Lonchura striata: one gene and its partner. The protein of the gene in region 1 interacts with the protein of each later gene in a pairwise test. Links are inferred from orthologs where the notes say so. Each region holds a gene or a part of one and is shown in the gene's direction. Other genes may lie near its edges.

Region 1 (15,970 bases):
AAGTTTTGCATGCATTTGCCCCTCTGAATCTCTCCCCCACCCTGCTGGGGGGTTCTCACCTGCCAGCTGGGATTCACCCATCACACTCCTCTAGTATCTCTGGAAAGAAATAATGCCCAAAGCATGGCTTTCTTCTCAACAGCTAATCAATCATTTGGCTACTCTCACTATCACAAGTGAACTCCTCTACTCCACTTCCTTTAAGTTTACAAGAAACCCATAATTTTGCCTACAGGAAAGAACCATGAACCAAGATTCAGACTCATTATCTGGCAAATTCATAGCTTTTCTTTCATTCTGAGACACTTCCTGCATAGCTCACAGGAAATAAGAGATGAGGGTGATTATGTTTCATTATTTTTAAAGCTGTTGGGTCAGCTAATGGCCACACCATCATGTCAGAAATCTGATTTAAAAAAAAAAAAATACAAGGAGTTGTTTTATCTCTAAGGCCCAGTAATGTTGGTGCAAATGTGATATACAGATAGAATAGAAGCAAAGTTTGTAGGGAAAGACAGACCAACTGATCTGAGGAAGCAGAGATGATTCAAGAGGTCTTTGTTATTTTTCCAGGTACAGCAGAGGATCCAACAAAAACACTCATCCTCCAAATCTTCTCTTATAGCAACACCTATAAATTTTTAAAATATGTAATTTTAGTAAATACAATATTACGACAATATTATAATGTGCTCTCGGAGAAAAGGGAGTATTTCCAAAGTTGCTTACATGAAAATTGTGACTTTGGTGGAAATCCTTGAAATTCAAACCCACTGTTTCTGAAAACAGTCCTTTTAAAGGTGTCTATGTGTCTGCACACCCTGAAACTGGAACATCACAATTATACTAAATCTGACTTACTAACCCCCAAGTGAGCCACTATATAGAGTATTCCAGTGTAGAAAACATTTCTTATTTTATTTATGCAAGGCCTAACAGAATTAACTTTCTCACAGTGGACTTCCAAGAATTTCAGTTATAAACAGACAAGTATGTTAATTAAAAGGTCATAATGGGTCATTCTGTTGAACCAGTTTGAAGTCATTAACTTTGAGGTTTTCTCTAAAAATTAAGTAAGGATAAGCCCAGACTGATGTGATCTTCATTCCATAGACCAAAGACTTAATATTCTGCAGCATTTTTGTCTTTAAGGCATCTACAGCAATGTCACTATTGTCGGTACTGGAAGATTCACATGGCAAAGCAAATTAAGCTCTTACAAAACTTACTCAAGTCAAACAGCAAACTCAAGGGAAGAGACAGCAGAAATCAGTGTCAATCAATTCTTAAACTCACTCCATTAGATAGTGGCCTCTCTATTTGTTCAGTTAAATATATTAGTAGCTCTCATCAGAAACTTAAATAAAAACCATGCATCTAGAATCCCCTGTAGTATTTCCTCCATAGCTTAGGGCTAGAAGATAGTAAAGGTTTTGCCAATCAGCCATCTACCCTAAAATGTACATTAACCCAATAACAATTATAATATATTGCATAAATTTAAAACAATTAATTGGAAAAATCATTTAATGTAGAGCTGGAAAGATTTATTGCTGAAGACATAGGCATATTTCACTGTACCAGAAGTTCCTATGCCACCAGGTAGCTGAGACACATTCAGCCATGAAAACAGCTACAGTGGTTTTTTTTTTTCCCAGGAATTATCACTTTGAAGAAATACATTATTTTTTCTTGTGGTTTCCTGATTCTACGTTCTACAATCCATACCTACTTGCGTGTCCACATTAAACTAATTTATCGTGCTAAGGCTGAGAAGATACTGGCATGCAGGCTCCTCAAAAATACTATTTTTCCAGATTCCATTAATTCTGTTTGAGAGCAGAAAGTGTCAAAATGCTTGTCTGCTCAAGCATAACCAGTGACTGAGAGTGTGCTTACTCTGGCTTATAACAAAAACACACTTGAACAAGAGCTGAAGTTTTCAGTAGCTGGTATCTACATGGCATTAGTTCTTCACTTCAGTCTGAAAAGCACTACATTAATGACTTGAATTTAAAACTCTGCTGAAAACTGCTTTTCCCTTTCCTGCCAGGATGATTGATGGATTTTCTGCTTTACAGATGGAGCCCCAGAGGAACATAACTGTGCTGTTTCTTGCCTCTGAACTGGACATTAATCAGAATTTTAGGAAATGTTGCTATTTTGGTGAAAGAAGAATGAATGGTGTGGTAAGGACACTTCTACTTTCTAGTTCTAATTACTTAATTCTTCCCAACAATTCTTCCATATTATAGTTCTGAAACTATTTCATCACCTAGTACCAAGGACATTCTAAGAAGTATCCAAAGTTTCTTTTTCCTGATTTAGAATTCTAGTAGAATTTAATTCCTACGTAACTATGATTTCTTTTGAGGTTCCCAATAGTCTTAGGAAAACCTTTCCCTGTTATCCTTTAAAACAAACCTTTAAAATGAGACATTTAAATCAGAAATTTATCTAACCAAACTCTATAAGTCTGTTTGCTAAAAAGAACAAACTAAAGATCAAAAATGTTGAAACTGGTTTTGCTCTAGTTAGAATGAGTGGTCTTGATCAGAAACATCATGGACACCACTTTAGGAAGTTTCATTACATAATATTAATTCATTACATAATATTAACATATTAAACAAATCTGCAAACAGCTAAGTTTTTACCTGAAAACTTTTTGTTTTCAGTCTTGCAAGTGAATGCCAAGTACTTATTCAGAATTAATAATTTTTTCCCCTCAGTTTAAAATTGGCTGGCCTTTGAGGAAGGCTGAATAACAGAAATCAGAAAACTCACAATACTCTATATTAATCAAAGCAGAAAATCCATTTAATATATACAGAATCCACAAAAAGTCTGTAATATGAATCATATATTAAGAGTTAGGAAAGTATTTCCTGCAACACACACAAAAAAATTGTCTGCAGTATTTCAAATCATCAGATTTAGGAAAAGGTGTCCTATGACAACTACAAGCCAACATATCCTGTACTCCTCAACAGGAATAAATAGATGTGGGCAAACCCTAAGGTTTTATCCAGAACAAGCTCAAAGAAGAAACTTGCTTCTAAATAGGAGTGACCTAAGCCTGTAAGGAGAAAGCCTCCACTTGCTGAACACTTACATGCACCAGAGAGCTTTTTATGTTCTTGTGAATAGAATCACAGCTCAAAAAGCAGTGACATCATGATAAGGTTTTCTAAAGGAACAAGGAAACTGCTTGAACTTCTTGGATGCAGGGGCAGCATCAGCACTGCAAGAAATTCCAGTCTGCAAGGTCAGACTGAGGCAACTGGTACTGCTGTGCCATGAGCACACCAAAGAGAAACTGCAGAAGTGAGACAATGCAGGGGAAGCCAAAGCAGGGTCTGAAATACTGAACATACAGCCAGTAAGCACAGGAGGGTGAACTGCAGCAAAGACCCAAAGCATTGAGGAAAAACAAAGCATAGCAGAAAGCTCTTGCCCTGACATGGACACAAACAGATCAAGGACTTGTGACAGACCCAGACAAGAGTGTATCCAGCTTAGCCACTGACACCCTTATGGTGAGACTGAACCACCTTAGTCCACAGAAATATGAAAGAAATTCCTTTTAGAGAAAAGTGCTGGGACTGCTATGGATCTGACCAATGTCATGGCTTTGTATGGCTCATCCTGGTTATTTCAGCCTTACTTTGATTAAGAACAGGGCCCTGGGACTCTGCCCTCTGCATCAGAACACTTTTGGTTTTTACATCCTCCAAAAAGGCAAACTATGCAAAAACCAAAAACAAAACAACAACAACCCAAACAAAACAAACAAACAAAAACCCCACACCAAAAAAATACCTAAACAAAAAACCCCCAAAAAACAACAACAAAAAACCCCCACCAAAACCATCAGCACCACCACCATACCAACAAAGCAGGGAAAAATCTTACATTAGAAATAAATAGACCCCACTCTATTTTCCCTAGCTAAAGTAAATATTTTGATGTGTGTAAACAGAAACCAAGACTGAAAAAGTAATGTTTTGTTCCAAGTCAGAGCCTCAGTGCAGAGAGATGGCCACATATGTATATCACAGCAATGAGTTCATCCAGTTTTGGGAATCCTGGCAGCCCTCTGGCCAACCTCTCAGTGAGTTTGTCATTCCAGCAGTAAAATATGTCGAACATTGTCTCATCAGAACATCCAACACAGTGATGTATAGAGAGGATGTTTAGTCCTGCCCATGGAAGTACAAACATGCCTGCAGCTCATAATTATTGTTGATCTATGAGTCACAAAAGCACCAACATTTCAGTTGTTTAGCATGAAAATCAGATTTTTGGTCACACACAGAGCTCTCTGGCAGCATCTTATGTAGCAGGGAGTATATCAGATTATTTTGCAGGTTATTTTTCCCCCTCTTGCACTGCATGATCTACAGCAAAGGAATTTATTGGTGGGTTATTTTCAGCCTACAGCAGCCAGAGGATCACATATTAATTTCTAATAAGCTCTGTTTAGGTAAATTACCTCAAGACAATTCTAACTCTTTTTAAGTATCATTATGTCACAACTTACCCTCCAGGACAATTAGTGGTAACTTAAGACAATAGGGTAAACCACAGCTTGATTGGCTGAATGACATCTAGAGTTCACAAGTAAAAAATTACGATTTCTTACAAATTGAGCAGAGGTCACTATTTATAAAACGGCAGGACCCCTCCATTATGTTGTATACTCTTGTCCACGGATAATTACTCTTTTAAATACAAACGACTCACAAGACTTTCACCAATGCTACAGAAATAGAACTGCTACATTTAGATGAATTATCCTTACCCCAAACACATAACTCATGCTTAAAAATTAAAATTGAAATATATGTACATTTATGAACCTTTAATTAATCATACTGTTCACCGTTTTTATTTTCTGCTTTCCTAGAAGCAGCTTCACCTTTTGTTTCTAGGCAGTATCTAATCCCTTTTTTTCACGCATCTCACACATTATAATAAGTTGTGATGTGCACATAATTACTCATTCAAAACAGCTTTGTTAAGAGTTCTTTAACAAAATCTGAGGTTAAATTTTTCCCATATGGGTTTAATCACATCTATCCTGTAACACCCTACTGAGAAAAAGTTAAAGTGAACTTCACCTTATATTTAATGTTGAAACCAGTACAGTATGGAAAATAAAGTTTTTTTTCTTTATATTGTCATGCAGAGCATACCTGTTGTTCATACAATATTTAATAACCAATTATGATTGTGCAACCCAAAGAATAAGTGTGCCACAGCACAAACCAGCTGCTTTATCAGCAATCTGGGTAAGGGTGCAGGAAAGGCAATCCAGGAAAAGCCAGGTGCTAGAAACATGGCGAGATGTGACTCATTCTTTGGCAGCAGCTTCTTTGACTGAATTCCCAGGAATTCCTCTGCATTTCAGAAGTGACAAAAGGAAACAGTCATCGAAGGGCATTCCCAAGTACATGTGGGATTAGCTTCTTACTCAGCACTTACGTAGGTCAAATTTCCCTAAAGTCAGTGGTGTTTTCCTGGGGGAATGCTGGCTTCATCCAAGGCACCAGTAATACCAAATTTTCCATAAAATTAAGTACCATAAAATTAAGTAATGCTTAATTTTAAATAATTTACCATAAAATTAAGTAATGCTTAATTGTAATATACTAACACAATACTACAAAGGTAGCTATATTATAAAGGATTCGATTTGGCTGCTAACGAAATTCCCTGATGCTTGGTCTGAGGATATCACTGCCCTATCTGCAAACATGGGATGGCCAAATTTCCTTGTAGTTTGTGAATTAATTGGCAGGAAAACAAACAATTCTCCAGTACCATGGCTTTTTCATACATTTCTACAAAATATTTTGACAGCCAGCAAAAGCAGTCTTGCTCCAAATTCTTCAGTTAGCTCTGACTGCAACACAATAATGAAAATGTAACATGAAGCCTATGTGGTTTTTTCACTTTTCTTTCTAATGTACATGAAAATGACGGGAAAAGTACAGGTATTTTAAAGCAGGAACTTTCTTCACGGCAAAATCAGCATCTTAAGGATGTAGAATACCACTCTGTACGAGTAAAAACTAAAAAATTATATTCCCTCAACCTCCACACAGATTTTTCATTGTCCTAAATCCTTTGATACTTACAAAATTAGGTGAAATAGCAAATAAGCCAGGGACCTGTACCATAAACAAGTGCTTTACTCTTTTCTGTCACACAGGGGTCTCTGTGCAACAAGCTCCTATAAAAATCAGTTATATTTTTAGAAACAACTAAGCTAACAGACTGTTTTGAATTTATTACTCCCAATTCTTACTAGAATAATTAAGGTGACAAAGTAATGACTTTCCACCTCAAAAAACTTGATTAAATCACAGGATAATTCATTATAAGAGGAACTTCAGGAGGTCTTTATCCATCACCAGGGTGACTGACAGTCTCAACTTTGAAGTTCACCATCTTTTCCTTTCATCATGTTCCCATTCCTGTAAATTCTTCCACACAAATTAGTCTTTGCTCTCTTTTTATCCCGAGACCTGCCAACACAGGAGGCTGCTCTTTATCACATTGTCTAAAGTCTTTTCTTTTTGCTGCCTCCACCAGCAGCATGTGATGATTTCCACTTGCTGTATTTTAGGCACTTAGGCCAGACAAATCTCCCATGATTGTGCTGAACCTTAAGGCTGCACGCACACATGGAGCTCCATGTTGTACACATTATGATACACATGCATGCACATACATACAATAAATACTATTGCAAATCATAACCAAATGTAACCTGGGACTTATTCTTGTACTGGTTTAAGGCTCTTTCCTCCCACTTGGTTCCATCAGAAAGGCGACATGGACATAACTAAACCAATCCAAAAGACGCCTTCTTTCAGTCCAGCTTTCCATAGTCTATGAGTATGTACACCAGTGTTACTCCATGACAGGGATATTCTTGATTAACAAGCTCTGTTCTATGCTGCCAATAAAAAAGTCTTCCGCCACAGGGGCAGCCGGTGGGCAGCAGCTTATTCAGTGTGAAGCAGCTGATTTTGCTCTCATCAACTCATCCTCAGAGTACACGCACTGGTTGGTGATACGGATTTTGACGAATCTGAATTTTGGATTTTGGTGTCTTCGAGGTCTTTGCTAAGGAAAGACTCGTACACCTGGCCAGGTATGCGGCATGCGAGGGGGGACATGCTGCTCTGCCTGGGTCCGGAGCCATCCCCTCGCCAGCGATGCCGGCACAACACCAACAGAGGATTGCCAGAGAGAAGATATTGGCGTTTCTCCTCCTGCTGCCGCCGGGGCCGCTCGGGCAGACGGAGCGGGAGAGCGGAGAGCCCGAGGGTCGCCGCCAGCGGGGAAAGTCCCGCTCCGAGCCGGGAATTCCCGCAGCGGCGCCGGGAGGACGCGGCGCTCCGGGGCTTTCGCTCCGGAGCCAGCGCCGCCCGCCAGCCCCCGGGACCCTCCTGGCCCGCGCCGCCCCCCGGAGCCGCTGCCCGCGTTCCGCTCGCCCGGCCGGGATTCCCCTGCCCTCGGAGCCTCCCGCTCGCCCCCTCCCTCGCCCCCAGGTTTCTCCCCCCGCCCCCGGTGCCGGTTCTCCGGCTCGGCCCTGCCGGGGTTCCCCGGGCAGCGCTGCCCCCGGGGCCGTGTCCCGCTCTGGCCGCGGGGGAAACAGCTCCCTGCCCGCCCGGGGTTCTCCCCGGGGGCGGAGCGCCGCCCGGCCCGGCCCCGGCCGGAGAAAACAGCGGCGGCACGGGCGGGTCCTGCGAGCCCTTAAAGGGAGCGGCCGCCTCCTCCCCCGGCGGGGAAGGCGGAAGAGCGGAGCCGCTGCCTCGGTGCTGCTCCGCTGCGAGGTTTTATGCACCTGTCCGGGCTCCTGCTCGCCCTGGAGAAGGAACAGAAGGGAGCTGCCCCGGCCATGTGCTCGGTAAGCGAGGCCGGCAGCACAGACCCCTTGGTGACCCGCTTCAGGCAGGTGGAGGAGACGCTGGAGAAACTCCACCGGGAAAACAGGAGCTTGAAGAATAAAGTGCCTCGGTACAACGCGCTCTGCACCTTGTACCACGAGTCCGCGCAGCAGCTGAAGCACCTCCAGCTGCAGCTGGCGGCCAAGGAGGCGACGATCCGGGAGCTGCGGGGCAGCCTGGCCCGGCAGCGGCAGCCCGCGGCGCCGGGCGGGGATGCGGCGGCGGGCGCGGAGCCGGCCCGCTCGCTGGTGGAGAGCCTGCTGGAGCAGCTGGAGCAGGCCCGCGAGCAGCTGCGGGACAGCGAGCGGCTCTCGGCGCGGAGAGTGGAGGCGCTGAGCCAGGTAAAGCCGCGGGCGCGCAGGGAGCGGCGCAGCATCAGCGCCGCTTTCCGCGCTGCTCCCTCGGGAGCCGGGCACCGGGGCGGCTGCGGGCGGAGGGTGCGCCCGGAGCGCCCGCTGGGTGCTGCGAGCCAGCGCCGGCAGCGGGACGAGGGTTTGAGCCCCTTCGAGCGATGCCCGCTCCGGCCCCGGGGGCCCGAAACAACCGGCCCGTTTGTGTTCAAAGGGAGCGCCCCCTGCGTTCCCTTCAGAAAGGCAAACCATAAAATCTAAACCAAAAACTCAGCATCTTCATGCAACTGTTTTCAGAAGGAGAAAGAAAAACAGTAAAAAACTCGCTGAATTTATTAGATGCAACGATTTTGTTCTCAAAGATAAGGAGCCGATGCCACGAATTTTTCCGTTAAAGTGTTGTGCTTAAAGTGCTCTTAAAAATGGAATTTGTATTGACAATGAGGTAGCAGATTCATATTCGAAGAAGCAGCTGACAATTCTGGAGAGCTAGATTAGGGAAATCGGTGTCTTTCTTGAAAGAAAAAAACCTGAAAACTGAATCCCTCCAAATCCAGCACAAGTGCTGTTTTGGTTACTGTCATTAAGACTTCCCCAGGTTCAGTCTGAAATTCTCAAAGATTTTTAAAGTATGAAGTAATTTCAAAACTGACAGCAGTACTTAAAACTGAAACAAGCATTTTTGTCATAAGTAATCTCTTGACCTAAAGCTTATACAAAACATTTTCCATATATGACACTCACCTAAAATACATATTAAAAAGTTCATGTTTGGAAATTTGTTATAAGAGATGAGCTCACTGACACTTTGCAGACAGATGACAAACCTATGGTATCTGAACATATTTGAAAGCTGATGCTGAATATCTTTAAAGGGGAAGTTTAGCATTCAGCATGAAGCTAAAGAATGTAAATGCCAGTAATAAGAACAAGTGCTGTTTATCTATATCAGATGTTAATGTTCATGTCTTGAAAGAATAAAATGCTGTGCCCAATCAGAAGGCTGAAATAATTGGCACTAAATAATAACCAAATAAAGAAGATATTTGTGTGAAGCCAGAGGCCAGTGTGCTGGCAAATAGTGTTCCTAGTGATTTACAGCTCTATTAGCAGTCCTAAGAACTGGAATGATAGAGCTGGGATTGCAGCTGTCTCATGTCTGCACTTGCCTCCAGAGACCCTTGATTCTGGAGGAGCAGTGCTGCAGAGGTTTTGATAGCAGCACCTGCTGCTTCTTGAGGGTGTGTAAAAACCAGCTTGTTTGTGTACCAGGTCAGAACCAGTGCCTTTCAGGTGCATGGCACTACAGGTGGTTTGCACCAGTCACCAAGCAAACCCCTTCCTTCTCAGAACACCTGCAGAGATGTTAATGCAGTGTAGATGATCCCACAGAACTTCCAGTAGGACAAGGAGATGCAGAAACAAGATACACAGTTGATTCCTAGGGGAGTGTCAGACCCCCTCATGTACCTGGGAGGCAGCTGTGGCCAAACTAGAGCCACTGCTGCCACATGGATTTTATTTTCTGCTGGTTTGACCTTACCTTACCACTCCCATCCTTTCCTAGGTGGGAAAGTTGCTCTGTCTTGTCCTTGTGACAGTGCCAGGCAGTGAATACACTTCACTGGATTTGATTACTTTACAGTTCCTTTTTTTTCTTTTGAGGAAAATCTCTATTATCTGGTAGTTTAGTGTACAGGACCTGTAAGTATTTTTCAGTCTCCACATTTATTAATCTTAAATTACTTTGTTTCTTGTTTTTCTTACTGCTGTATAGTCATAAAATCTTCCTGAATTTTTGCTGCTTGTTCTCCATTCTACTGATTAGAAAGTGCTTGCATGGCTGCCTGAGCAGGTCTTCATTGATTGATCCAACAATTCCAAGGTCTTGTGATCATACAGAAATGAAATTGATTTAGTCTAGTTTTTAAGTACTTTGCAATGAATACAGGAGCTATAAGGAATTACTGCAATATTGAAGTCTGAGATAGATTTTGGCTTTTGACTTTATTTTGCTCTTAGATAACTTCCCCTCCCCCCTCTGTTTAGGAAGTGCAGAAGTTGAATCAGCAGCTAGAGGAGAAAAATGGAGAGATACAGCAGATGATAAATCAGCCTCCGTATGAAAAGGAGAGAGAAATCTTACGACTGCAGAAGACTTTGGCAGAGAGGGAGAAGGCTCAGGCCACCAGTGATGTTTTGTGCCGTTCACTCACTGATGAAACTCACCAACTTCAACGCAAATTAGCATCCACAGCAGAAATGTGTCAACATCTGGCAAAATGTCTAGAAGAGAAGCAAAGAAAAGAGAAGGGGAATTCAGATGACCAGATACCTACAGAAAGATCTAATCAGGTATTTATACAGCTACTGTGTGTGTCTTTAAAGTCTTATTAGCTTCTATGATGTTAATTAGAATATAATAGTTGTAACTGGGAAATGGCCCTTAAAATAATTTCATGCAGGGTGTTAAGACTGCCATGGCAATGGTAAATAATTCTGCATATCTGAAATTTAGGATGGTAGCAGTTGTTTACCACTTCAACTTTGGCCATCTCATCAACAGAGGCTTTTTTTTGGAGAGGAGAAGAACTTGAGAGGTTTTGTCCAGCCTCAGCAATTCCATGATCACAGTTCTTCCCTCAATACACAGGAGATAGTACCTACCTTATACCACCCCTGCTTCTGTGCAGCACTAGATGGTGCTGTGATTTTGAAGCTGATCTCTCCTGATAACTTGTTTAAGTATCAAAATCACAAAACAAAGTAGAGATATTTTAAAGTAGTATTTATATTAAGAACTCTGTAACATATGGTCTTCTTGGATCAGGATTTGGCTTTGCACACATAGTACAGACCTACAGAAAGTTGGTTAGTGGAATATGAGCCAAGGTGTCTTACCTTTTTTTTTTTTTTTTGCTCTGGGATTCCCCCTGGCCTCCTGAGCGCAGGGCAATGCTTCTCTTCAGGAGACATGTTTTTAAAAAAAAAGCTTCATAATAGCACAGTGTCAGAAATGCTACTGCAGGGCACAAAGAAACACCTGGATTTTGGTGTACTTTGCTAATGGCTGTTGAGGCTTCAGTTAAAGTTCTCAGCATGGGATAAGGGTAGATCATTGTTCTGTTTTTCCAGAAGTCCTGATGGCTGAGAGTCATTAATTAAACATTCATTAAAATTAGGTAACTCATTAAAACGCCATAAGGAAATAACATTAGTAGTGCTGTCTCTAGTAACAGATCAGAGCAGTGAGTAGGGTGCTACAGACAGTTCTCACAAAAATGAATAATTCTGACTTATGCTTTTACTGCTACACGGTGGTAATGCTGTTTTCCACATGACCACTCATCTGTGCTGTTGTGATGAACTCTGTACATACTCATGTCTGCTTTGTCAAACATCCCAAAAGTGTTTCCAACGAAAACTTACATTAAAGTTACTTGTAAGAAATATGGGTTGAGTAGATAGAAGAAAAAAGGATTTTTAAGGGACTTGAAGGATTTGGCATTATCATATCTAAAGTGTAATTGACAGACAGGAAACTTGATTGACTTTGATATATGCAATAAGAAGCTAACCTTGTACAGTGGGGACTTCCCTGTTGAAGAGGAGAAATTTCAGATGCCATTACTAGCTGATTCTAGGGAATTTTGCACAAAAGTGTTCTATATTACTCACGTACACCGGGGTTTTTTTTAAGCAGATGTCACAGCTGTAAAAAAGGTATCATTTTAGTCAATTATTTAGCAAGCAGGGTTTTTTCCCCTCAGTAATTTCTTCCTAGTACTGGCCAAAATTGACAGTAATAACAAAGCAAGATGAAGGCATATCTGTGCCTTTGTCATGTATTGTCCCACTCCAGACAAGTATTGTAAAGAATTTGTGTAGACTCTTAAATGCTGTTGTCATGAGGTCGATTTCATAGCAGTACCAAGGCTGTAAAAACCTAGATGTACGTCATTACATATTATATAAAAAAAGATTACTTGCAGTTAACAGCACAGCCAAACAGCATCTGAGATTTTTATGTTGAAGTAACACCTAACTTTATCTGAAAATTACAGCTTTTAGACAATGAAACTTCACTTCAAGCTCTTATCTGCAACTTACAAGAGGAAAACAGGATGTTAAAACAAAAAGTAGCTCATGTGAGTACTTTCATTTTGTTACAGATTAATATTTGTTAAGTATTTTGTATTAGAGTAAATTTGAAATAGATAAGGTCTGGTTAATCTAATTACATGCCAATTACAAAGCAAGATAGTTTTTCTTAGTCCTTTCAACACAGCACATAGTTTTTGTTCCCTTAGCTGAGAACAACTTACTATATAATTTCTAACATACTGGATTTTTGTTGTTAAAAATGCAGTGCATAAGAAAATTTTCATGGTTCTTCCATGGATCAATATTCCACCCCAGAAGAACAGCACTAGGCCCATTAGACCCTTCCCTTTCCACATTATTTAATATTGTCCCTTTGGACTGGGAGATGGGAAGGCTGCCCATGAAGAGGCTGCACAATCATCTCCTGCTCTCCTGTACAGTGACTTACTCACCTCAGGGGTCGAGTCAGCATGTTACATTATCCCCTAGAGAATTTTGATCCTGCTATTGTAGACAGCCTATGAAAGCTTTGGAAGTTTGTGTCTCCCTGTTCTTCATGCCTCTGCTGGATAAACTTTCAGGTGGAAGATTTAAATGCAAAATGGCAGAAGTACGATGTGAGCAGGGATGAGTACGTGAAGCGACTCCACTTGCAGCTGAAGGAGATGAAGTCACAGCTGGAGCAGCACCACGGAGGAGCTCCAGCACCAAGGAATTCTGACATGATGCACAAGGAGATATTCCGGTTAAACAAACTACTGGAAGAAAAAATGAATGAGTGCATAAAAACCAAGAGAGAACTGGAAGACATGAAGAAGGCTAGTGAAGGAGATAAAGAGCGCATACAAATGCTGGAGCAACAGGTTATTAAGTTTCTTTTTCCTAGAGATGGGAATTCTTAGTTTCTTCCCAGACTACTGAAGTCCATGGGGAAAAAGGAATTTCTTTTTGGACATTTGCCTGTCTGTGCACGTTTGGCTATACAGATACTCAACAACACAGATTTAAAGGAAACTCACTACTTAAAGAACCCCATGCAGTTCTGCTGGCTTTAATACACAATCTGAAAGATCTGTAAAAGAAATACAAACACCTTTGAAATAAATACACATACGATAGGGAAGATAATACTGAGATGCTGGGAATAAGTAAAAAAGGAATCATAGTCTCAGCTTTTCAATCTAACCTGCTAATACTCTAATGTATAAAATATTAACATAATCATTCTCTTTCAGGTCCTGGTTTATAAAGACGATTTCACATCTGAGAGATCAGACAGAGAACGAGCACAGAGTAAAATACAAGAACTTCAGGCAGAAGTTGCATGTCTGCAACACCAGCTAGCAAGAAGACAGGTAAGAAAGCAGCATGCTCCTTCTTTAATTTAAGCATGTCAAAGGATTTGGGACTAAAATATACTATAAAATATATTTTAAAAAATCTTAGTATTTCTAAAACAGTTTCAGCTCAAAACAGTTTCAACAGCTATCAAAAACTTAGATTGTTTCATAGTTAGTTCTGGTGGAGATGCTTCAGAGTTCAGATGTAATACCCCTTTCCTGTCCCTTTTTCTTCTACTTTTGGATCAACATAGACAGGATGAATTCTTAGAAGGCAGAGGACAGCCATGACTCTTGGCATCTTTAAATTACCACACTGGCTGTATTCTATGTTTTCTACAAACCTTCTTTACAACAATATTAATAGCACTGCAAAAACTGATTAATAATTTATTTATTATACTCCTCAGATAAATATTTGAGTGGTGTTTCAGACATGGTGATAAAAATACCACCCATTAAAAAAAAGTATTTTTGTTGCATCTTTTTCAAAAGCTCTTCTTTCTCTTTCTAGGACTCAAGAGACACAAGTAGTCATTTCAGAGTTCACGCTGGTAACCAAAATCATTTGTACGTTCAGACGAATGTCGAACACCTACGAGGCAACAGCCCAGGCCAGACAGGCACGAGAAGAACAAACTCTCAGTCTGAACAAGCTTCTCCTCCTGGGGACAATGGAAACCTGGGATCTGAAGGCAGGGCACAGGGTGAACTCAGATGTCCTCATTGCATGAGGTTTTTCAGTGATGAACACAGTGATGAATTCCTCAAGCACGTTGCTGAATGTTGTCAGTGACCACAGGATGTGAGGGTGTAAGTCAATCACTACTTTTATAGACATAAAACTTGCTCTATACATGTATCTCCTACAGTCCTAAAACAGAGTAATTCAAATGGAGAGCTCTGGGGAATTAGGAGGATGAACAATACCTACCTCTTGCTTGATTTTGCCTTCTCTTCGACTGTGTGAAGGGCTTCAAGAGAAAGCAAAGTGTTTGCCTGAAGAATTATTTTTGACAGCTACAAGGAAGGCAAGTGTAATGGAGATTCTACTACAAACTAAACTGAAACCTACAGTGGTAGTTTAGCTTCAGAGTGCAGCTTGACTTTATCTAATTCTCTACCACAGTCTGATGGCTTGTGAAAAAACTTACTGAACTTGAAATTTTCCTCCTCTTCCAAAAAATGTAGGCTGAAGAACAGGAAGGAATATATTGGCAGAAGATAGGAAAAATCCTATTGTGCTTTATCCGGATTAAAAGCGACAGTATTTTCTTGACTCTTGAGGGTGAACTTTCAGACACCTGATCTGAAAATCCTTCTGTTTAACTGAAATCAGAGGAAGTGAAGAAAACATAAAAGGGCTGGTTATTGACTAAAACTAGCCTGCCATTTTTTGCACAGAAACAAGGTACAGGGATATTTATATTATCTGTGCCATAAGTATCTATCTTACAGATTTGTAAAGGTGTATTTGTGTAATTATTGTTTGTATTCCTATTTGACCTAAGGATTATTTTTATAATAAAAGTGATTGTGCATTTGCTTTACTACAAAAGGGGTCCAAAAATCTCTTTTGGTGTAAATATTCACATGTGCAATAGCGACTATACTAAGGGCTAATTAAATGTCAGGGTTTCACATGAGTTATTTCATTACTTTAGTGATAACCAGCTTCTCAGACTATTTTCAAATACGTTGAAAAAAAAATCACTCCTCATTTCTGAGTGGAAGATTGACATTTCAGAGGCACAAGAACAAATTTAACCCCCTACCCTGCCACACACATGTGACTATGTCAATGCTAACCTGAATTTTTTCTTATCCTTTCTGCACTTGAAAGAGCTTCAACAGATAGCAGGGGACTATTTTAAGAAGGAGTATCAGCAATTTAAGTGTACAAATATAAGAGTGCCACAGGTTTTTGCAGTCTTAGCTCCAGGTGAAGCTGAAATAGTTTTCTCACTGTGTCAGAGCAAGAGTTAAGGATGGAACAGAAAGTAAAGGCCTAGTGCAACCACGGCACTTCATAATTAAAGAAAACTTTGTGTAATAACACTTCTGTCTTCTGCTTTGTTTTGTGCCCTGTTCCACACTTTAAAAGAAATATGGATTTTTTTTTTTTTTTTCCTGGATATTTCCTTTTCAGGATCCTGTTGCAGCCCCAAAGGAAGATGATGGTTTATGCCACTCTTATCCTAGGTGGGATATT
Region 2 (16,356 bases), on another chromosome or scaffold:
TTCTGAATGCTTTGAGCATGGAAAAGGCTCCTGGGACACAAGGATTGCAGCCCTGGAGCTGGGCACAGCACTGCCAGGCTCCAGGGCAAATCCCGGCATCGCCTGGGCACCACAAGTCAACAGGGAGCTGCAGCGTGGAACAATCCGTGCCACCAATTAACTGAGGGAATTAGTCTGTAAGGAAAGGGAAGAAAAATCTGGATCATTCCAGAGATTCTTGCAAGCGCCGTGGCAGTGCAGGCAAAAGAACAAACCTGCCCTCCAAGGACAGCAGTTTCTACAGGGAAGAGCTTGATGCTTCGAGCAGTACTTGTTGCTCTTTGTCTGACACTCAGACCATACAGGAAAAAACAATCAAATACAGTTTTTTGGAGGGAAAAGTACCCTTTAGGAGAAAATATTAACTGCCCCCCAGAGATAAATTCCACCTATCCCTGCTTTTCCACCTGGGAGAACACATAGAACTATTTCTAGACAGGGCAAAAATGCCTCCCAGACACCACCCACGCTCTGCCAAGGAACTCGGCACATTCCTGTGTAAATCCATCCAGCATCACCCTCACACATCCAGCACCAACATTCCCAAACCACAAACACATCCCTGCAAGGCAGAGCTAGGGCTGAAGCAGTGGCTCAGACACCGGGTCCATGGAATATTCCCAAAACCAGGGCTTTGGGCACTCCCCAGCACAAGGCAGAGCCTGAGCAGGGCTCTCGGAGCACTGGGGCTGCTCCTCTTCCACAAAAAACTTGGCTAAGCAAGGTCAGAAGCCAAGAAAATGCAGGTCCCAGATTCCTTACACTTTTTCCCCAGTTTCTCTCCCAAGAGACACTTGGGAGAAACCCTCTGGACCTGAGCAGGTCCCAACGTTCTGTTTCACACACAGCCACTCGTGGTAGAAAAACCACTTCAGGACATCAAAGCCAACTTCCCTACGGATTAGGGCAGCCTTAAGGCAGATTCAACGTGCACCTGCTCCGTGAGAGGCATGTGTTCACTTTGATCACACCCACACTTGTGCAGACCTCGATTGTGTAACCAAAAAAGACATCAGAGTTTTAAGTTTTAAGCAGAAAAGTGTTTCAGGAGAGTATAAACCTCCCAATTAGGCCTGGAAGGCTTTCCTGAAGGATCCAGACTCTCATGGTGACAAGTCCCAGCGCAGTTTGCTCCTGTGCAGAAACCTCCCAGCAACATTCGAATGAGACGGGTACAGGCTTATTTTAGGAAAATGAGGGTGCAAACATCCAAAAAACAGACCCTCATCAAGTAAAGAGCTTTTGGCAGAGATAGCAGAGCTCAGGCTTCCAAAAGCTCCAGCTGGCAGCTTATGGAGCTCTGCAAAACCTGCATGGGACACACAGCACTCCCAACCCCACAGCATCAGTATTAGCACACCATTTTCCACTTGAACATTCCCACCACCAGCTGCTCTTGGTTCAGCCATTCCCGTACGGCTCAGGACGAGCTCAACTCTTGGATGACACGAGGATGATGTGCAGCAGGAACAGCCCCAGCGAGGCGCAGCCGACCACAGCCAACACCCTCCTGCCCTCCAGACTCACCCCAGGGCCAGTGCACGGACCAGAAAACCCTCCAGGGGTTGGGATCCCAGCTTTGGGTTGCCAGTGCTGAACCTGCAGGACCTGCCCATCTCATTTCCACTGTAAATCAAGCCTGCTAAGGGGGAGCCACAGTCTTTACACTGGAATTTATGGTTACTCTGAGGAGTTTTAGACCTGGCACTAGTATTTAATAAGGTGAAGCCTCTGGTATCAGCCCAGTTAATGGTCTGACATCACTGGTTCCAGAATGCAGAGACTCTGAATAGGGCCAGTACGGGCTGCACCACAGCAGAACCTCGGTGCATGATGGATTCATGGCTCCACACTGACACAGAGGAAGTTTGGATCGGATATTAGGAAATCCTTCCCTGTGAGGAGGATGCTGAGGCTCTGATTGCTCACAGAAGCTGTGGCTGCCCCATCCCTGGAAGTTGGAACCCTGGAACCCAAGGCCAGGCTTGGAGCACCCTGGCATAGTGGAAAGTGTCCCTGACCATGGCAGGGGGTGGAACTGAACGAGCTTTGAGGTCCTTCCAACCCAGACCACTCCAGGATTCTGTGATCGCTGTGCAGTTTTCACAGCGCTCCGTGGAAAAGCAGCTGAAGAGGGAGTCAGAAACACGAGGGTTCCGTGGCTGTGGCCACCCGGGCTGTACCGGGACAATTCCCCATCCGGACAGGGCTGGAGGGGTCCGGGCTTTGCTGCGATCGCAGCTCCAGAGGCTCCGCAGCACCTCCGGCTCTCTCCGGTGCCGGCACAGCCCCGGGCCCCGCTCCACACGCGGCACGGACACGCGTGGGGGACACGGCTGGCGGCAGCGGGGCCGGCCCCGCCGTCCCCACAGGCTGCTCCGGGCCCGGCCCGAGCCCCGCAGCCCCCGGACTCCCCGCGGCACCGACCGACGGACCCGGGACGGGCCCGGCCGGGGGCCACGTCCCCAGCGAACCCCCCCAGCCCGGCCCCCGCCCGCGGAGAGACCGGGCCGGCGGCGGGAAGGCGCGGGCCCCGGGGGCAGCGAGCGGGCGGCCCTTACCTGTGTCCGGGGGTGGCGGGCTGCCGGGGTCCCGGGCGCTCCGCGGCTCAGGCTCCCGCCCGGCCGCCGCCGCCGGGCGCCGCTTCCGGGTCCGCCATGCTGGGAGGGCCGCGGAGCTTCCGGGGAAAGGGAGGCGGCGACCGAGCGGGAGCCGGGGAGAACCGGGAGCGGGGGAGTGGGGAACAGGAGAACCGGGAGCGGGGGAGCGGGGATGCGATACCGGGAGCGGGGGAGCGGGGATGGGGGAACCGGGAGCGGGGGAGTGGGGAACAGGAGAACCGGGAGCGGGGGAGTGGGGATGGGGGAACCGGGAGCGGGGGAGCGGGGATGGGGTACCGGGAGCGGGGGAACCGGGATGGGGTACCGGGAGCGGGGGAGTGGGAATGGGGTACCGGGAGCGGGGGAGTGGGGACGGGGTACCGGGAGCGGGGGAGCGGGGGAACCGGGAGCGGGGGAGCGGGGAACAGGAGAACCGGGAGCGGGGGAGTGGGGATGGGGTACCGGGAGCGGGGGAGCGGGGATGGGGGAACAGGGAGCGGGGGAGCGGGGATGGGGTACCGGGAGCGGGGGAACCGGGAGCGGGGGAACCGGGAACGGGGCAGTGGGGAACCCCGGGGCAGTGGGGAATGGGAGAACCGGGAACGGACAGCGGGGAACGGGAGAACCGGGAACGGGGGAGTGGGGATGGGGGAACCGGGAACGGGGGAACCGGGAACGGACAGCGGGGAACGGGAGAACCGGGAACGGGGGAGTGGGGAAGGGGGAACCGGGAGCGGGGGAGTGGGCAACGGGAGAACCGGGAACGGGGGAGTGGGGAAACGGGAGAACCGGGCCCGGGGCAGTGGGGAACGGGAGAACCGGGAGCGGGCAGTGGGGACGGGAGAACCGGGAGCGGGGGAGTGGGGATGGGGGAACCGGGAACGGGGGAGTGGGGACGAGAGAACCGGAGTGGGCAGCGGGAATGGGAGAACCGGGCCCAGGGGGGTGGGGAACGGGAGAACCGGGCCCGGGGCAGTGGGGAACGGGAATGGGAGAACCGGGAATGGGGGAGTAGGAACAGGAGAATCGGGAGTGGGCAGCGGGGAACGGAAGAACGGGGAGTTGGGTAGCAGGGAACGGGAAAATGGGCCCGGGGGCAGTGGGGAACGGGAGAACCGGGAGCGGGGGAGTGGGAACGGGAGAATTGGGACTGGGCAGCAGGGAACGGGAGAACCGGGCCCGGGGGCAGCGGGAACGGGAGAACCGGGCCAGGGTGGCCCTGAGTGATGAACAGACAGCGAGGCCCGTGCCTCCGGAGACCGGCAAAGGCTCGGGGCAGAAGGAACCCACGGGGCAGAGGGAGCCTCCGGGGCAGAAGGAATTAAATGAATCACAGGGCTGGAGAACTACCTGCTCTGACCATCCCAGGCTCCTCACCCGTTTTCCCCACACTGGGCCTTTTAATATTTTTAATTTCCCATTGCTTGCATTGAATTCATGCCACCTTTGGAGTCCCAAGGTAGGAACAAAATCCTGAGGGGTCACACAGAAGCCTCCTGGATGGGTCTGTTTTTACACCAGCACAGGAGCAGCCAGAGGGAACTGATTTATCCCCAGGATAGGAAGTACTGGCAGATGGGAACCACATTAACACCGGGTCCTTGGGAATGCTGGGTGTGTGCCAGAGGCAAAGGGGGAACCAGGAAGTTCTGTGCCGGTCCGCTTCTCCCATTCTTTATTCATTTGCATATAGTGATTAATCAAGGCAATCCTGCCACATTTTCCAACATCCTTCTTACAGGGATCTTTCTTCTAAATCCTCCCCCCCAGCTCTTTATTTGGTGTTCCACAAATACAAATAAATACGCACAGTGGGAGAACACACAGGGATGTATCCAGCACCAAATCAGCCTCCTCCTAGAACCACCAAATCAGGACTTCCCTTACCAGGATCTCTTTCTCCTCCCACCACAGCCGAGACCCCAATTCACACAGAAACCCCAAGACAGGCAATGAAGCAGAAGTGATGCTGAGCTGGGAGCACTGAGGCTGTCCTGTGCCTGCCCTGGTGGAAGATGTGGGGACATGGCTGAGTTGTGTCCTGGTCTGTTTGCCCCTTTACAGGAGCAATGTCCCTGGAAAAAAGCCTGGCTTCTCCAGGAACAGCCCTTCCCAGGCAGCTGGTCCCTGTCAGACACCCAGTCTCAGGAAATGGGGACAAAGATGGGCGTTTTTGGGCGCTGATCCCATGGGCTCAGCTGCAGAGCAGCTCCACATTGGGGTGTGCCGGGCTGCTGTCACCCACTGCCACTTCCTGTTTCTTCCCAGAGCCTGGAAATCCCCTGACTTTCCGTGGGGTGAGGGCTGTGGAGCCATGCTGCCAGCTGGCCCTGTGCCCCCAGAGCTGTGGGAAGAGGCAGCCAGGGGACAGACCCTGCCCTGTGCAGGGTCCTGGCAGTGCGGGGCTGGCGCTGTGCAGGGGGCATGGATGGGACCTGGCAGGAACCGTGCTGGGGTGCCAGGGTCCCACAAAACCATTCCATGTCTGAATAAACCCTTCTGTGCCCCCTTGGCCGGGTTGTTGGGCTGTGGAGGGTGAGGGGACAGCTCCTGCAGTGCCCCATGTGCCACAAGCTTGGCAGGTGTCAGCCAGTTCCCCTAGCTTGTGACGTCCTCACTGGATGCTGGTGCAAATATTTGGGAAAACCCAAGAGCCTCTGGCTTTGCCTGATGCATCCACAGCCCCAATGTGGGACAGGCTGAGGGGTTTGGGGGTACCTGGGGACACCCCATGTGAGTTCTTGGCTTGCCCTGCTCCAGTGACCCATTCCTGCAGAGTCGAGCAGGATTTTGCCTTTGGAGGGGGATCGTTCTGTCACCCTGGTGGGAGAGGGAGCAGAACAGGCAGTGGGATGGGCAGGGAGCAGCGTGTGGAGTGCCAGGAGCTCCTCCAGCCGATTCTGCCCTCCCACTGCTGGGAACACCTCGGGAAGGGGATGCACAGCACTTACCAGAATTTCGGGGATGGGTTCCAGAACTTTGGACTCGGCGCCAAGCCTGGAGTAAATAAATCACCCAGGGCCAGGGGCTGTGGTGACAGAAGCCGTTGAGGGAGGAGGGAAAGGCGGTGCTAGCGGGATTGGAGAGCTCGGCAGAGCAGCCCCCTCCTCTACACTCCCTCTTCGGAGCCCTTGGAACCTCCTCCCGAACCTTCACAGGCTCAAATTCCTTGAACAAACCAAATTCCTTGAACAAACTGGAGCGTCGCAGTGCTTTGACCCTTTGGGGACCCAGGGGGCCCTGATCCTGCCCAGGCCCCCCCAAAACGGGCTCAGGGCTCTCCCACCTGTGCTTTGGAATTCATGCAGAGCTAATGGCTCTCATGGAAAGGAAGAATTCAGGGATTTGTCCTGCCCTGCCTCAAATTAACTGGTCAGCTCTGGGAGCTGGTGCTCCCCATTGCAATCCCAGCTGAATCCCTTTCGCCAAAGGGTTTCACAGCGGGGCAGGAGGCGGCCGCAGGGGCATCGCGGTTCCTCTGAGCTGGCACTGCACAAACCCCATCTACCGGCACCGGTTACCGACGTTCCCGGCGGGAGCAGGCACGGCAGAGGCCGGAGCTGTCCTACCGCAACTCCCCGAGCAGGACAGGGGACTCCGGTATCCGGTGAAACCGGGAGGAGACCCCTGAACGCCGCTGCGGGGGGAGCAGCGTTGTGCAGCCCGATCCTTCCGAGCCCCCGGAGGGTGCCCGCAGGAGAAGCGTCTCTGCGGCGGCCGGGGCCGTGAAGGGGTGGCGGCCCCGGGAGAAGCCCATTCCCCCGGGCCGTGCCGGGGTCTGCCCGGGGCGCTGGAGCCGGGCGCCGTTATTTTGGGGATGCCCTCGCAGCTGCTTGGCTGGACTTGAGCACAGCTGGGCAGGAGGGGACGAGGTGCAGCCGGCACCGAGCGGACACCGGGGGGGAGCGGGGCCACCCCAAACCCGAAGCGGCAGCGGAGCGACCCGGGCGCGGCAGGCGGACCGCGAGGGCGGCGGGGCAGGGCCGGTGCCCGCCGGGGCAGAGCCGGTGCCCGCCGGGGCAAGGCCGGAGCCCGCCGGGGCAAGGCCGGTCCCCGCCGGGGCAAGGCCGGAGCCCGCCGGGGCAAGGCCGGTCCCCGCCGGGGCAGAGCCGGTCCCCGCCGGGGCAAGGCCGGTCCCCGCCGGGGCAAGGCCGGAGCCCGCCGGGGCAAGGCCGGTCCCCGCCGGGGCAGGGCCGGCTCCGTGCCCGGTCCCGTCTCCATGACTCCCGCCTGCCCTTTGCCCTCCACCCTTCACGTCCCACCGCCCCGCCTCCGAGCGGTGATTGACAGCGCTCGCAGCCTATCATATCGCGCCGCAGGACGCAAGCCCCGCCCTCGGTCGCGACGGATATTTCCAATGGCCTATCACATATGAAGTTCACGTGAATCCCCGCCTCTAATAGTGACTGACAGCCCGGTTAACCTATCATATCGCCCCGCCGCCGGCCGGAGTGGGTGGGAGGGTTGCTTGTAACGAACCAACCGGAACCCGACGTGGTGCGGCCGCAACCAATCAGCGCTCGAGCGCTCGGGGACGGGGCCGACAGCGTGGCCAATGGGGGCGCGCGCCGGGGCGGCGCGAGGCGCGGAGCGGGGCGGGGGGGGGGGGACGGAACGGCGGGGGCGGGCGGGGACAAGATGGCGGCGGCGGCGGCGGCGGCGCGCGCGCGGCGGGGCGGGCGGTAACGGGGCAGCGCGGCCGGGACGGGGAACGGGACCGCGGCAGCGCCAGGGGGCAGCGGCTGACGGGCGGCCCCTGAACTTGGTGGGGGACACGGGAGGCGGCGGCTCGGCGGGGCGGAGCGCGGCGCCGGGGCCCGGCCCGGCTCCCCCGCCTGGCGACGGGGAGGGGGGACTCGGCCCTCAGCCCCCCTCCCCTAGTTCACCGTTTGGACCGGCGGGAGCGGCCGGAGCTGCCTGCGGGGAAGGACCCGGCCCGGGCTGGGAAGGGCCCGGAGGTCACCGACCCTCCCCCGGGAGTCCGCCCCGTCCCGGCGCTGATTTTGTGGCGCTGAAAAGTGCCCCGTCCCCTGTCCCCCCTCTCTGCTCCCCCGCCGTGCCCTGCCAGCCGCGGTGACACCTGTGGGAAGTGCGGGAGGGACCGTCCGGGCCGGGTGGGCATCCCTGAGCCCCGTCCGTGAGCGGCCGGTCACCGGGCGGCCGGTGCCCCCGGGAGGAACCGGGAGTTGGGGCAGAGGGTCCCCCTGACCCCCCCCGGGGTCGGCGGGGCCGGGCTGGGTTGTGTCGTCCTGCACCGCTGACACCCGGAGCAGAGGCGGTGACACATCATGTGCCAGGCGGAATCCCGGTGGATGAAGGATGCCCCCGGGAGCTCTCGGTAGGCACCGAAGGCCTCAAACTTTTGTAGGCGACAGCGAAGACGCAAGAATTGTTTCGGAAAACTCCTTCGAGGAAACTTGGTTCCAGCTCCCCAACGGCTGAACCCCCCGCACCCCGCCCGGGCCGTGGGAGCACACCTGCCCACCCCAGCTGGGAATCATGAGCTCCTAGGGATGGAAAGTCACGAGAGGGACTGGGAGCTGCTCTGGTTCCACGGGGTGGCCTGACGGCCTGGAGATGACCTAACTCTTTAGGATCAAACTGGGCCCAGTCAAGGCCAGTTGACTGGGAAGAGCCCCCGGCAGCGGGACCGGGTCGGAAGCAACGTGAGTCCCAAACTGAGTGTGTCCCGTCACAGATTTATGTTCTTTTTCAAAGACGTTCTGGAGCCAGGCCGGGATCTTTTGGCATCCAACTGACCTGGAAGCAGCTCTTAGGTTTGGTTGTTTTTTTTTTTTGCCTTCTTTTTTTTGGTTGGTTGTTTGTTTTTTTTTTAATTATTATTCATGTTTGTACAATCTTCTGGATATTTTTTTCCCGAGAAGGAGTAAAAAGGGAGTGTTGGAAACTTAACAAACAGGATTAAAGCCCTGAGCGCTTAAGGAAAAAAACAGGTTAAGGAACTTAATCCAGGATGGATCTGCAGGAGCCCCAGCAGCTGGGAATGTTTGCTGAGAGCGAGCTGATGTCGGTGGGGATGGACACGTTCATCCACCGCATCGACTCCACCGAGGTCATTTACCAGCCCCGGCGCAAACGGGCCAAGCTCATCGGCAAGTACCTCATGGGAGACCTGCTGGGAGAGGGCTCCTATGGCAAAGTCAAGGAGATGCTGGACTCAGAGACCCTGTGCAGGAGAGCTGTGAAGATCCTGAAGAAGAAGAAGCTGCGCCGGATCCCCAATGGGGAGGCCAACGTGAAAAAGTGAGTAAAGAGTTCTGGGAGCCGAGGGGGTGAACTTGGTCCTTGCTTACCAGCTGAGCTCCTGTGTTGTTTTAGCTGACAGCATGGCTCTGCTGTGGAAATGCTTCCTAATCCACAGGTATTTAGGGATCTCTTCCCTCTGAACAGCAGCCAATGCTCTGGGTAAGGCTGGGCACAGGGAAGGGACAGGTTCCCAAGGTCTGGGACAGTCTGGAATACACCACTTTGGTGTCATTTAATGGATAAAATATTGATTCTTAAAGCAATTCCTCTGTGTCCTCTCACCTTTCCCAGCCAGCTGCACCTGGGCAAGGTGAGACCTTACAAACACACTTGGTGTCCTCACAGGGTTATTCCTGTATCTGCCCAGGTGTGTTCCAAAGGCCCTGGAGATCTCTGTGGTGGCAATTCCTCCTCCCACCCATGTGGAAGGTGGCTGGAACAGGATCCAATATATGGGGCACCCCATGGGCACAGGAAGTTTTGGGTTTTTTCCTTGGCTTCATTTCTAAGATCCTTGGGAGTTTACTCAAGGCTCTCCCCAGCTGATTTCTGTGGCTGTAAAATGGGGCCAAGGGTTGTCAGCTCTCTGTGCCTCCACCACACCTGGTTACTCAGGGCACAAAACCCTCATGGAAGTGAACCCCAGGAGAAGCCAGATGTGGGGCTGCATCCGTGGGGCTGGTGTGGGAACTTTCCCTTCCCTGGACCTCGCAGCAGCTGCGTCCCAGCCCTGCCAGGAGCTGCTTATCAGCTGTGCAGGAGCCTCTGCAGCCCAAACAACCCATGAGGGTTTATCTAGGCTGGGAGGGAGAGCTCCGAGAGGTCGAGGAAACTCTCCTGGTGCTCTGCTGCGGGTGAGCCCTGACCTGCAGAGTCCTGTGTCTGTCCCTCAGTTTGATTTCCCAGTTTAGCCGTGGGATATTTCACATCCTGTCCCGGGACTGCTGTCAGGGTGCTCTCTCACTTTGCCTTCCAACCTTTTTTGACAGCCTTGGCTGTGGAACAGTCACATCCCAAGGCTGGGACCTCCCTGTCTCTCCTTTCCTGGCTCAGGTTCAGGAGCAAGCAAACTTGGTTAATGTGTAATAAAATGTTTCTTGTTTTTCTGGTGGAGGCTGAGAGCCCCGTCCCTGGGTCCCTCCACGGGCACATCCAGAGCTGCCACTGGGGAACGTGCAGATAGTTTCCTCCTTAGGGAAGCTTTCAATGTAAATTAGGTAAAAGAGCTTGCCCACATCAGGAGAGTTCCCTGCTCTCAGAGCCATGGGAATGCTCCAGTGTCCTGACGTGAACTCCTGGAGGTTTTATTCACGCCCAGAATGGGGCTGTGAGTATCAGATGGGCCATTAAGGGAGTTATTAAAAGGGGCTTTCTGTGGATGTTTCCTGGCTCAGCCCCACCTGCTCCAAAACACCAAGGCAGATTTTAGGTCTTGCCTTGTACCCAGGGGTTTACTTTAGTTCAAGTTCTTATTTCTGTTCCCTCATCCTTTTCCTTCTGCCCACCTATCCGTGTGCTTTATCTGCTGCTTCAGTGGGGAATTTTAAGGCAAACTGTTGTACTTTGTGGTTCCCTGGTCCCCCTGGCACTCTGAGCTGATCAGCACTGCTGTGAGAGGGAGTGCACCCTATGTCTGCTCTGGGTATGAGATCTGTGACCAAACCCGTGTGTCTGAGTTGTCAATGTGGGAGGAACAGGGTGCTGTGGAGTCTCCAGGTAGTGCTGGACAGGACACTGACACAGTATTTTAATGTCAACATGGCCAGATCACTGTGTTGGAGCAGCTTTGAGGAGTTTATGCCCAAAAACTGCTCCTGTGCACAGGACAGCAGGAAATCAGTTTGTGGGCTGGATCAGTTTGTGGGTTCTGCTTTCGCTTTTGGAATCTGATCACTGAAGTGGTTTCCAGCGTTTCCTACCACAGGGAAAAGCTGCACATGAGGCTTGGGTTGTTGGGCAGAGGTGATTGAGTTACTGTGGTGGGCTCCTGCCTCTGCCCCCTCACAGGGCACCTCAGTGCTGCTTCAGCTGTGCTGATAGCATGTAATCCAAGGAATTCCGTGGAATACAGTTCCTAGACAGTGGCCCCTGGGTAATTCCACAAGCAGTAACACACAGGGAGGAATGAGAGTGCAGTAATGAGCTGTGGAGGCTCATACAGGTCTGAGCTGGAGATGTTTGGCTGGAAATAGGATGATAATGCCAACCTTAGGTCACTCCTTGTTGATATCCCAGGCCACAGCCTCATCTCTGCCCCAGCCCTCTCTCCTGGTGTTCTGGAGACCCAGAAATTACAACTTAAATGTGTTTGGGACTTACATCAAATCAAATGCTTTTTCTCTACCCCAAAATACTCCACTTCTGCCCCAGAAAAATGAGCCCTGAAGGGCTCTCCAAGTCATGGAGAGGATGTTGAGGGCTTGAACTTTTAAGACACAGTTTCCTTAAATCTGTTGGGAGAATCTTCATTTCTCTTTAGAGCAGGTGAAGGTGGCTCAGTCAGGCAGACACTGCAGAATCTCATCCCTGCAAAAAAAAGGAGTTTAGTGGGATTGCCAAAAAGAGGCAGGAAAACCTGGCAGCCTGTGGCTGCAGCAGCAACAGAGGTTTAATAATGCCGTGTGCTAATAGCCTGACACGTTAATTAAGTGTTTGGGGCTCTGTGGGATCCCAAGTGCCCTGTGCTGTACTTACCACCTCGGCAATTGCTCTGGTTGGAATTTGTGCTCCTTGGGAATTCCTCGGAGGGTCAACCTGGGTTATGGGGCTGTGCTGGGACAGTTTGTTCCTGGGGTCTGCAAGTCCCATGCTGGAACCTCCAAACAGGGGAAGGACTTGCTGGAAGCCCTGGAGGTGTGAGCTCAGGGAATGGGCTGATCCCTCCTCCTCAGAAATGTTCCCCGTGGAGCCGTGTGGCTCAAGGGTTTCCTCTGCTCAGCTGGATGTTTGCTTGGGTGAAATGCTGGGACCTGTACTCCAAGGAAGAGCACAGATTGTGATGGATACAGAACTTGGAATGCCAGACATCCCTGCAGGAGCAGGATGTGGATGGACCCTTGGGACTAGGAAAGAGAAAAAGTGACACCGAAATCTTCCTGGCACTTCCAGCCTTTGGGCTCACACAGTCCTGGAGAGGTGCTGCACTTCTAAAGCTTTTAGGATGTTGTGGGAAGAACCTTGTGGAACCAAAGGCAGGGAATGAATCTTTTGGCTGTGTTGCTGGGTTTTGTTGAGGCAGGAATGGCTCGGAACAAGCTGGATCTCACAGTGGAGATGTCCAGGAAGTTTGCTTTCCTGGCTGCCTTTGGCATGTTCCAAAGTGGTGTGGCACATGGAACAAGGGGGAAAGCTTTGCTATTTACAGTTCTGAGCAGCAACACCCCCTGTTATTTGCCAGAGCTGGTACCTTGCAGGGGATAAGTCTTAATCCACCAGGATGAGCTTAATGGATCTGACAGAGCTCGAGTTAGGTCTTTTCCCCCCTCGTCTCCTTCCAGTGGGTTGTACTTGGAAGCAGGTCTTGTCCTCTGGCAGTCTGTCTGGTCACACACTTGCAGTGAGCTGTGGTGGAGTTTTGTTGGTAGTTTTGAAAGAAAAAAAAAAATCAAATTTAGGCCTGTTCTGAGAAGGTGAGACCTGTGCTCCCCTACTCCAGGGGTTTGCAAAGTGAGATGGGATCGGAGGTGACTGGGCTGGCTGTCCCTGCTCCTCAGGCATTCCAGAGCAAGAGAGGAGCTAAAAATAGAAGTAATCTTTCCTCTGGGAAAAGGGTGGCTTGGCCTCTGCCCCAGTGGTGGGGGCATGGCCCTGGCGTTTTGGACTGGTTTGCAAAGGCCTCCTGGGGGGGGAAAAATCATTACAGAAATATGAGATATTTATTAGTCTGTTGAAGGTGGGAGGAATTAGTGTTTGTGCTTCCGGGCTGTATTACAGGGAATGAGCTGTTGGGATCAGGATTTTAAATGTGTTCCAAACACTTGGGCCTTAAAGCAGTTGTGTTTGAGTGGGTTTGCTCCCCTCTGGCAGCCCTGGTTGGAGCCCTCGGCCCTTTCATGCTGCACGATCTCCTCAGCTCCACACTGACAGTGGCTGCTGTTCCTTGTGCTAATTTAATCCCCTTCAGCCCTTTGGTCATTCCTATAATTAGACTTGTCTGCCATGTCCACACAATACTTGGGAGTTTTGCTGTGGTATCTTGGGTCTCTGCTCGGCTCTTGGTGGCTTCTTCTAAATCCAGAGCTGAGAAAGAAGTCTCTGGCCTTAACTTTGGTAGTGAAATAATTCATACTGCTCAGGCATCCGTAAAAGATCAGTAAGGATTCTCCTTGCACTCCTGCATCAGAGAAGCTCTTTCCAAGGAGCAGCTCCTGGTTGTTGCTCAGCCTTTGTGCGAGCCCCAGCTCATTACTGGAGCTGCTAATTGTGCCCGTGAGGGGCTCTGAGCTGGCTTTGGGCAGGGGCTCTCACTTCCAAAGCTGTGCTCAGAATTCCTTGTAATGCTGCTTCCCAGTGGCTGAGCTGATGAAGTGTGACCACACTGCTCAAAGCACTGGCCAAATCTCTCTGGAAGTGAGCTGGCAAGGAGAATTTGGAAGCTCAGCACAGCCCAGGATGGAGCAGCAGCAGAACAAAGTGAAAAGCAGGACGTGCACTGCCAGGCACCAACAGAACCACCCTGACCTGACTGTCCTGCTCTGCCTGTTTCTCCACAGCTGGCATCCAGTGGGATTTTGCAGGATGAGTTTAATGCAAAAGAGACTAAACCGTGGTTTGGGGCAAGTACAAAATCCCTGGAGACAAAAATCAGAACAGCTGACAGTAGGTGACATTCAAGGGACTCCTCCCCAAGCCAAGGGAAGGTGGCTCCTCACTGTTTTACCTTATTTATTCCCCACAAACAAAAGATTCAGTTCAGGTCTCTGAGCCATTCAATCAAGCTGAGTTTGGGTGAAATTTTGGAAGAGATGGAGTTGGGAATAAGCTTTTTCAATGTAACTTTTTCCTTGTCTATTCCTGCAGGGAGATCCAGCTCCTGCGGAGATTACGGCACAAAAATGTCATCCAGCTGGTAGATGTGTTGTACAACGAGGAGAAGCAGAAAATATATCCTTTTGCACAGGGCTGTTGATCAGGTTTGAACTCCCACTGTTCTCTGCTGTAGTTCTGCTTTTGGAAAGGCCCTTTTGGATGTTTCTTTTTCTTAAATTTTTGCAGCTAAATTGATTTCACTGTTAATAACCATCCTGCCTACCTGGCAGACTTTCCACACAAACACAAATTCACACAGATACTGATCAAGGCAATTTTATCCTGACTTCACTGGATTTTGTGTGACTCTGCAACACTGAGAACACTTTGCCTGGAACCACTGGGGAAGTTCCTGGATCTGATCCTTTGTAGCATATGTTATCAATGGATCCTTTTATTTTTGACAGTGTTTTCTAACTACTGTCTCCTTATTACAGTACTCCAGAAAAGGACTAATTTCATTGTGTGCATTAATTAGATCAAACACTCTGCCACCAGATCATTAGGATAAAGTATTGTGACAACTTCTGCTTGTGCTGTGGCCTCGACAGAGTGAGGGGACTGTGAGTCAATTATTGATAGACAGATCCTGTTTAATTAGGTAGAAGGGAGGAGGCAGCATGGGGAAAAGGAGCCCGAGAGAGACATCGTGTGTTGGTACCAGGTGATGACAACCCAAAACCATCACTGGGAAATGGGATCTCTCCAAGGATGCTCCTTGCTGGACTTCCTGAGCAGTGCTGGTCCAGAGTTGGTTTTCAGTGCTTTTTCTTTTCAAGGACAGGTTGACTTTGTTATTTTTATCTTTATCTGCTTCTACACTCTCACAAAGTTCATTTCTCCCTGTGCTGATTCTGGCAATAATTGGGGGAATTTGTTTTCACTGGAACTTGCAGCAGGAATTCATCCATGATTTTGTTCAGGCCCTTCCCCAGCTCCTGACTGGTGCTGCTGCTTGTGCTGCGTGTCCTGGGCTGTGACAGAGCAGACCTTGAGCAGCCACATGAGCATCAAGTTTGGGAAGAGATCCAGCAGAAGAGGGATTGTTTCCCTGAGGCTGCCCTGGGGGCAGGGCCCTTAGTCATGCACAGGGGCAGAGTTGGGGTTTAGGGGAAGATGTCAACTTCCCCATTGGTGATTAAAAAGGAAAATGCTGATTTCCAGAACAAGCAAGTGGGATTGGAAACTGGGGCTGTGGAAGGAAGGATTCTGTTCCCTTCTGTGCACTGCAGGCTTGAGCTGTTTGTTACAGAATGGCTTGGGTTAAAAAGGACATTAAAGCTCATCCCATTCCACCCGTTGCCATGGGCAGAGACATCTTCCACTCTCCCAGGTTGCTCCAAACCCCATCCAACCTGGCCTTGGACACTTCTAGGGCTCCAGGGGCAGCCACAGCTTCTCAGGGAAACCTGTGCCAGGGCCTCACCGTCCTCACAGGGAAGATTCTTTTTCCTAATCTCCCATCTAACCCCTCCTCTCTGTCAGTGTGAAGCAATTTCCCCATGTCCTGTCACTGTGTGCTCTTCTAAAAAGTCCCTCTCCATCTTTCTTGTAGGCTTCCTTCAGGTTAAGACAGTGTTTGAGCAACTCAGCTAATAAAAACCTTCAGTGATTTTCTGTGGGAAAGGGAAAGCTGTGGTGACAGGATTAAAAATATCAACAACTTTTAGTATTTAAGGGCTGTTTGCTGGCCTGCTGTGGCTGGGAGTGCAGAGCTAGTGGTGAATGGAGAGCTCATCCAGGCAGAAAATGAACCCAGTTCCATGAGCAGCATCCCAGGGATCCCATTACCAGTGTGTACAGCTGAGTGTGGGAGCAGAAGCCCTTGAGGAGGAGAACTGAGAGCTTGGGGCACCTGTAATAGATCTGCTCCAGCCTGGAAGTCTGTTCTCTAATCTGATTGATCAACCTGAAGTGGATCAGTGACCAGGGAGGGGTGAGGAGCAGCCTGGCTGTTAATGACACCCAGCCAGGCTGTCCTTGAGCCTCTTTGCTCCCCAGGAGCTGGTCTGGATTATCTACCATCACTGTTATTCTCCTGACAGTGGGAGAGTTGATGTATTCCAAATCACTGATAGAAGTAGTTCACAGAGTTCTTCCAAAGGAATGAATTTTGGGAGCTCTTTCTTCTGTTCTTGCTTTTATTGATTTACCAAGAGTCTTAATGCCCATCATAAATTATGGTTTAGGGTATATTTAGAGTATTTTGAGGTCTCTCTAAATAGCAGCTCATGGGGAATGGAGCAGGAATTTAATTTTCAGTGTTTGAAGCTGCTGGATGAAACATGCTGGAAAGAGGCAGCAGAGTCTTTAGCCCAGATCCCACACAGGACAGGAGTCTCCCTTCTGCCTCTTCTACCTCAGGTGGCTTCCTGGGGCAAAAGTAACTTATTTTGGGTTTAGGTTAAGAAGACAACTGCCT

The links.
Region 2: the proteins of TNIP2 (region 1) and STK11 interact in binary tests that used the Homo sapiens proteins (3 or more experiments, as listed by UniProt). The link is inferred for Lonchura striata from reciprocal best matches to the Homo sapiens genes TNIP2 and STK11.

The regions. Positions count from the first base shown.
Region 1 is NC_134606.1:9,217,308-9,233,277, reverse strand, and holds TNIP2 (TNFAIP3-interacting protein 2), read left to right. Parts: upstream 1-7,855; coding exon 7,856-8,305; intron 8,306-10,363; coding exon 10,364-10,669; intron 10,670-12,378; coding exon 12,379-12,462; intron 12,463-12,999; coding exon 13,000-13,281; intron 13,282-13,653; coding exon 13,654-13,773; intron 13,774-14,272; coding exon 14,273-14,554; 3' UTR 14,555-15,316; downstream 15,317-15,970. UniProt on the Homo sapiens protein: Inhibits NF-kappa-B activation by blocking the interaction of RIPK1 with its downstream effector NEMO/IKBKG.
Region 2 is NC_134630.1:6,447,334-6,463,689, reverse strand, and holds the start of STK11 (serine/threonine-protein kinase STK11), read left to right. Parts: upstream 1-7,695; 5' UTR 7,696-8,613; coding exon 8,614-8,903; intron 8,904-13,925; coding exon 13,926-14,009; intron 14,010-16,356. UniProt on the Homo sapiens protein: Tumor suppressor serine/threonine-protein kinase that controls the activity of AMP-activated protein kinase (AMPK) family members, thereby playing a role in various processes such as cell metabolism, cell polarity, apoptosis and DNA damage response.